Linked DNA regions of Caenorhabditis elegans. The main gene of each other region encodes a partner of the protein of the gene in region 2 in a complex. Each region holds a gene or a part of one and is shown on either strand. Other genes may lie near its edges. The genes, in order: rpl-11.2 and rpl-5.

The links.
Region 1: rpl-5 (region 2) and rpl-11.2 share a complex: the UniProt entries of both Caenorhabditis elegans proteins name them as parts of the large ribosomal subunit.

Annotation. Positions count from the first base shown.
Region 1 is NC_003284.9:2,241,085-2,244,649, forward strand, and holds rpl-11.2 (Large ribosomal subunit protein uL5B), read right to left. Parts: upstream 1,535-3,565; 5' UTR 1,533-1,534; coding exon 1,398-1,532; intron 1,346-1,397; coding exon 1,130-1,345; intron 1,079-1,129; coding exon 902-1,078; intron 855-901; coding exon 792-854; 3' UTR 654-791; downstream 1-653. Other genes in the region: putative G-protein coupled receptor AH9.1, read right to left, coding at 2,518-2,572, 2,625-2,777, 2,939-3,004, 3,052-3,305, 3,355-3,430, 3,479-3,565. UniProt on the Caenorhabditis elegans protein: Component of the ribosome, a large ribonucleoprotein complex responsible for the synthesis of proteins in the cell.
Region 2 is NC_003280.10:8,567,672-8,571,534, reverse strand, and holds rpl-5 (Large ribosomal subunit protein uL18), read right to left. Parts: upstream 1,609-3,863; 5' UTR 1,603-1,608; coding exon 1,414-1,602; intron 1,362-1,413; coding exon 1,179-1,361; intron 1,134-1,178; coding exon 795-1,133; intron 747-794; coding exon 576-746; 3' UTR 549-575; downstream 1-548. Other genes in the region: bcs-1 (Mitochondrial chaperone BCS1), read right to left, coding at 1-168, 213-439; col-38 (Cuticle collagen 38), read left to right, coding at 2,466-2,603, 2,732-3,457. UniProt on the Caenorhabditis elegans protein: Component of the ribosome, a large ribonucleoprotein complex responsible for the synthesis of proteins in the cell.

The DNA.
Region 1 (3,565 bases), on a different chromosome or scaffold from region 2:
CGACTTGAAGCAACTGAGTTGGCTGACAATTTCAACAACTGTGAGCCATTATAGAGCCAATATTGTACATAGCGTTTACCAAGCTTTTTGGTGCCACTCGACTTTTAAGCTCATATCTGAGCAGCCGATAGAGCTTTCTTTACAAAAATTTACAGACTTATGCTGAAAAATATACAAATCATGAACCATTAACAATAGCTTTATCAATCTTCAAATAAGTTTGGTCTTATTTATTTCATATACGCAATGAAACTAAGTTTATTTATGTTTTCGAATTTTCGATTTTCGATTTTCGAAATATATTTTCAGAAATCCCAGAAATATTTCAGGAATTCGAATTGATCACATATCAGATACCAAGGACCGTCAAATTATTTTTGTTCAAAACCCGCCGCTAACTCTCGGAACATAGATCCGATAATTGCGTTATGAACTCGAAATTCGACACATTTGTTTAAGCAACGTAACTTGTATGATTTAAATTGAAAAAAATAAATAATTCTAGATTTATTTTTAGACGCGCCTAGAAAATGAGGTCGTAAGGTTTTATCGAATCACTTGATATATCTTAAAATAACAGACTTATCTCTCTATAAAGTGCTCACAAAGTTCTGACGTTTTTCCCACAATCTTTTCCTTTGCGAATCCACGTTAATTTTTAAAGCTTTTTACTTTTCAGTGTTCAGAAGATTGAGGTTTTTGTGCTCTGAAAAGTTCAACCCAACCCCAAAAACATCATTTTTAATCTGGTACAACATATAACAGTTTATGTCAAAAAATCAACAATTTTCTTAACGGCGACGGTGGAATGTGCGCTTGACCTTTGGCTTTGGTGGGAGGATGATTCCGTCATACTGAAAATTTGAAGATGAACAAAGGTATCTATGAAGCGAAAATTTACCTTCTGTTGGAACCACTTGATGGACTCCTCACGCTCGACTCTGTGGGATGGTCCGACACGTCCTGGGGCGCGTCTTCTCTTGGCGATACGGCGTCCAGCACGGTCAAGGACAACGTAGAAGTCCATTCCGTAGATTCCGATCGATGGATCGTACTTGATTCCCAAGTCGATGTGCTCCTGCAATTCATTAATACTTACAGCTGACTAGATCGCTTCTGCAATGGTTACCTGGACTCCGAATCCGAAGTTTCCGGTGTCGGAGAAGTTCTCCTTGTAGAGCTCGTACTCCTTGACCTTGAGTCCCTTCTCGAGGATTTCCTCGGCCTTTGGTCCGCGGACGGTGCAGTGAACGGCGATCTTTTCGTTTCTGCGGATACCGAAGGTACGGACGGTGTAGCGGGCCTTGGAGAACACTGGGGTCTGTCCAGTGAGCTGCTCGAGCACCTGAAATAAAATAATTCAGTTCATATTCTGCAACAAGTGAAAATTAACTTACCTTAGCGGCACGGGTCAGTCTATCTCCAGACTCTCCGACGCAAATGTTGAGGCAGAGCTTCTGGATCTTGAGCTCACGCATAACATTGCGGGCCTTCTTCTCGCGGATTTCCGTCTGCTTCTCGATGTCACCCATGTCTGTAAAGAGGTAAATAACAATAAAATAATTTTAAATGTAACGGCACAAATTAACAAAAAAGAAAATTGCAAATTTCTAACATCAGAGAATTTCAAAGAAAAACCCAAAAAACTAAAAATAAACAAACTAATAAAGGTTTTCCACCTAAAAATCATCTTCTAACTAATAACCCTAAATTAAAATAATCACTAACAAAAACGCGAATTAAATTATGAAAATCCATTGAACAAAGCTTTCGATTGAAAAAAGTTCGAGTCATCCAATTGTAAAGGGCCTAAAATTTAACAAGAAAAAAGGAAAGATCGGAAATTCTCCTGCAGAATACGAGAGGCAAAATGACTACGGTAACACTCGTTTCTGGCTGTGTGTCCTGCCTGCACATCTAACTTTACGCTGGCAGAATGCCAACATCTCTCGCGTCATCTCGAGTCTCCCACTTCCAAGTGATATTTCCTTTGCAAACCCGGGGGTCTTTGCGTTTTTGGGCCACACATACAAATTCGCTTGGCAGATGGAAAGCAATCGATTAGAATCTGTACAGGACATGTTTCCACGGAGCCGCCGTTGATTTGGTAAGACTTTGGGCCTGAGCCATTATTAAATAAATTTAGTTATCCGGACATTTTTTTATTGTAAAAAAACGGTATTAAATGTGAAAAATTGAACAAAAAAGGTCCAAATCAGTAAGATATGCAACAAAAAAGGTAATGTAAAAAGAAATTGGAATGTGTTCAAATGAAAACGTTTTTGGAGCAACAGAAAAAAAGTAAAGAACAACCGGTCATTCAAAATCACCTAAGACAGAAATTTGGAAATGAGGAGAACAGATAAGGAATAGGTTGACAAGAATTTTGAGAATCACAATTGAAAGTTAACCGTTTCAGAACAGAGATCTATTGATGGAAGCAATTGAAAGAAGGCCGGAAACAAATTTTTGAGTAAAATGAAAAGGAAAGCAACTAGAAGTATATGATAACAACGATTAAACTTCATCCACTGGATTTTCATGATTCTCGTTTCCAAGAAGGACGACAGCTCTGCAAACGGAGATTATGATTGACTTTTGAAACGGAGAGGGGAAAAACTCACTGATGACATCGCTTTCCGTGAACTGAGACTCGAACGGTTGGAGAGTCGCCAGTGGAAGTTGGCGATAAGCTTGATCTACATCCAAATAGTCGGAGAAATGCGTGACGGTATTCAGAAGAACACAGAGCATAAAGGTAGAAGTTGTAGAGATAACTGAAAACGGGGAAAGGTTTGGAACCATCTTTCAGCTTTGAGCTCTTTTCATAAACTACTGAATTTTACAAGAAGTGAAAAAAACCATAGCATGTATTGAATTTTTTGGAGAGTTGAAAAAAGAAAAAAAGCAATTAATTTTTTGTTTTAGGTAGCCATACCTTGTGACTTGAAGAAGATTTGCAATGGCACGGAATATCTGCCAAAACAATGAACCACTAACTCGTCTGAAATGCTGTCCAGTTCAAAGAATTCTCAAAATATTAAGACTTACCGAACGAAGAAAGATATAACGGAGGCAGGAATATTGCAGATGATAAAAGTAGCAGATGTAACGAACAGAAGAACTGATATACGACTGCGATCATCGCGCGGCGACCGAAGTTGGCGTTGAGCTAATGTTTCAGTCCGACTGTTTTGTGATGGCTGTCTCCAGAACCAATTACGTTTGTCAATTTTCCGCAGGCCACGAACGACGCACATGTTCAGGATAACAAGAAGTAGAACGGGACCCCAGCGGCAGATACACTGAAAATTAAACATAAAAACTACTTTTAAAAAAATTCGATTCACTTACTTCTCTTACTATAAGATAGAATTTAAAAACTTGAAGTGCCTCCACATCTTCGTTGCGAACAATTGTGTAGATCGTTCTGGAAGTTGAAATTACACAAAAAAATCTGTCTAGAATATTAACTCACTTGTTGGTGAGAGCATCCGTCACGACACCAAGCTTCTTTTGGAAGACTGATGGAAAATATATCATCAGTGCAATAAAGTAGATCATG
Region 2 (3,863 bases):
ATCCATCGATAATCATGGACGAAAAAATGAGTTCCATGGCCAGGTAGGAATGATATTGATAATTCAGTTTTGCCACTTTCAGCTTGATGAACAACTGTATTCGCTGATAAATTCCGTGTTTGGGTAGCACTTCGATTATTAATGAAATCGAGAAGCCATGGATACGCTCTAAAATCATTATATTTTCTGATGGATTTCTGTAAATAACTTACGCGTCTTCGTTATTAATTTGAAGATTGATCATAAAACGCCTACGAAAATACGTGTTGCTGATTTGAGCTGTCCTCCGCAGAAAGCTCATTGCTATTCCTATTCCCGCTAGACCAGCTCCCGCATTAAAATACGGGTTTTGATTCAAATTGTCATACAAATCGGAGAAAAAGGAAGAGTCTTTTGATGGGCCTGGTTTTTTATCGGAAACGACAGGATTTTCCGACATCTTAACTTTAACTGAAATTTAGACTTCAAAAATCAAGAAATCCAATGTATAATTTTATCGTACTCGAACAAATTGTAACAAAACTCGAGACTGTCAACAAATACATTCATTTGAAAACGAAATAACAAAAAGAGAGTTACTCCTGTTGCTCCTTGAGTTGGAGAAGAAGGGCCTTCTTGTCGGCAACACGTTGCTTTCTCTCGTCATATGTGAGCCTCTTGGCGGTGTGTCTCTTGGATGGCTTGGCAGCCTTCTTTGCGGCTGGAGAGGCATCAGCACGGATGGCGGAGTGGACCTTTTGATAAGTCTGAATATTTTAAACATTGGTTACAAAAATAGGAATAATTCAACTTACGGCAACAAGGTTATCGGCGTTCAATCCAGCGGCAAGGAACTTGGAGAATTGGCGCTTGTAACGATCCTCATCCTCTTCCTTCAAGTAGGTCATGTAGTCAGCAACATGCTTTCCGAGAATGCGGTCGCGGTGGGCCTCAGCATTGTACTCCTTCGACTCTTGATCGAATCCGAAGAATCTGCTCTCACTGTGGGGAACGTTGATGCCTCCATCAGCAACTCCCTTCATCACAGCGAAGATCTTGGATCCGGTGGTGGTGCGAGCAAGTCCGATGTCGAGGACAGCCTTGAATGGAGCGCGGTCTCCCTCCTCTTCTACATTGTAGTCTTCTCCAGTAAGCTAAAGTATGAATTTAAAGTAAGATCAAATAGAAATACAAAATACCTCTTCGTGGCCCTTGTAGGTGGAGTCAAGTCCGATGGTCTTCAAGTGACGACGGGCAAGAAGAAGTCCGGTGGCGTAAGCAGCGGCGTAGTTGGTAAGTCCGACCTTGAGTCCGTAACGTGGAAGTTCGTGGGAGTAAGCCGAAGCGACAACGACGTCTCCTTCGATCTTGGAGTAAGCGAGCTGAAACACTTAAATTAATATATTCTACATTTGAAATTAATGAAAACCTTACCTGAGCGACAACATCCTTGTTTGTGATGCGGACGATCAAACGGTACTTTGGGGTGTTGTACTTGTTCTTGTCCTGGACGGTAAGACGCTTTCTGGCATAGTAGTCAGTCTTTCCCTCACGTCTACGTCTCAGCTTGACCTGGTAGCGCTTGAAGTAGGCCTTGTTTTTAATGACCTTGACGAGACCCATGTTCTTCTGCAATATTATATTTTTAAAACTATCCTGTATAGAAAGAGAGAAACGAAACGATTATCGGGAAGAAACCAAGCTTATTTTCGAAGGAAACGGGAAGTTCTAGCGTTCGCCATTAGCAAAAAATGACTAACAAAAATAATATTACGAGTGAACAATGAAACTCTCAAAGATGGCGGAATTTCAAGCAAAGAAAACGATAAATATTCGAAAAAATCGAAAAAGTGTAGACAGTGACTTTAAAAATCGATAAATCAGTGTAATCTTATTTTTTGTTTAATTTTATTTTAAAAAAATCGTGAAAAGCACTGAAAAATCAAAAAAAGAATAGAAAATTTTTAGGACAACACAAATTTGCTTCAAGTCCGCAATCAGACGCGAGTTGATGGTGTGCGTACACCGCCACTGCACACATAAAGTTTGATGCGCAGGCGCGGGAATTCAAACAGCAAGGGTACGGTAGGCATCGCTTCCAAACGAGAAAACGTTGTGAATTAACTTCAAAATATAAGTTTTTAGTAGGGAAACAGACAGAAAACAAATCGTATATGAATTGAGATATTAAAAAACCAATTTTAATGCAAATCAGAAAAAAAAACACTCAAGAAGATTATCCGGCAATGAAAAATGGACGGAAAAGCAGGTTTTCCTTATCACTAATGGTTTTTTGCACCAAAAACTTAGAAACAATTTCCCATACGGTCCTAACTTTTTATTCGATTCTTCGCGCTGTCGAAAAAAGTGGATTCGCTTCCAGTACCGTCACGCATCTCTCTCAAGTTCACATTATATCTCACCACGAACGTCTTCACTATTAAAATGAATCGTTTCCTGATGGAACACTCAGACATCGTCTAAAAATGTCAAAATATTTGGTTCCCGTTTGTGCTTCTATTTCGCTGGTTGCCGTTTTTGGCGCCCTTGTCGCCATGCATTCCATTGTTGTCGATATTGACACGATGAGAGAAGAAATTGTAACTGGAGTCCATGACATGAAGGTTGGTAATTATGATAAACCTGTTAGTATTTATATTTAAAGTATTAGTTTTTTATAAATCTATGAGTTATAGTCAACTTGGACTCCGAAAGGATTCAACTGGATATGCCTATAAAAAACTGTTTTCAGGTGATGTCTGATGATGCATGGAATCGTATGATTGGATTCACCAAGCCATCTCTTGATTCTGAATCCCGCAGTGCCGCTTTCGCCAGCGTTTTCCGTAACAAGCGTTCTGCTTATCCATCTCAATGTAATTGTGATGCCAACTCTCAAGGATGCCCACCAGGACCACCAGGACCACCAGGACTTCCAGGAGGACGTGGAGATCAAGGACCATCTGGAGATAAGGGACGTGATGGAGCTTCTGGAGTATCTCTGGCTGTTACCCATCATCTTCCAGGAGGATGCATTCAATGCCCACAAGGACCACCAGGAGAAACTGGACCAGACGGAGATATTGGAGAGCCAGGATTCCCAGGAGCATCTGGATCTGCAGGACAATGTGGAGAAGATGGAGCTCCAGGAGAGGCCGGAATCACTGGAGAACAAGGACCACAAGGAGAGCCAGGAACTGAAGGATCTGAAGGACCAACTGGACAAGATGGAACTATTGGAGGACCAGGACTTCCAGGACAACCAGGAACTCCAGGATGGCCAGGATCTCAAGGAGAACCAGGAAAGAACGGAGATTCTGGAGTTGATGGAGAGCAAGGACCACAAGGACCACAGGGACCAGATGGACAACCAGGACGTGATGCTGATAATGGACAACCAGGATTGCCAGGAAAGGATGGATCTATTGGACCAGATGCTAACTATTGCCCATGCCCAGCTAGAGCCAAGAAGCACTAAATTATTTTATTTTGATTTAATTTCAAATAAAATCTTATATTTCAAATTTTGATTATGGCTACGAATGAGTTGATCCGCGAATTTTAGTGTTTCCTACAAAATTCAGAAATAGTGCTAAAAACCATTCTTATACAGCTAAAATAACCAAGTATAATAGTAAAAATTTTTCAGCATTTTTTCAGCATTTTTCAATTTTACAGGCAAATTGTTTGGGGCATAACATTTTTCAAACGTGTGTTTTATTTTTGAACATTCTAGAGGTTCGACCATGCATCAATGCTCAAAACTGCTTTAAAATCTCACATTGTTGGTAATTTTGGCATTTTACCAAAATTTTGTAAAATCCTAAAATTATTTTCTTTTGGGTTTAAATTAGCGTGTTTAATTGAGTGAAATCCTCAGTCTG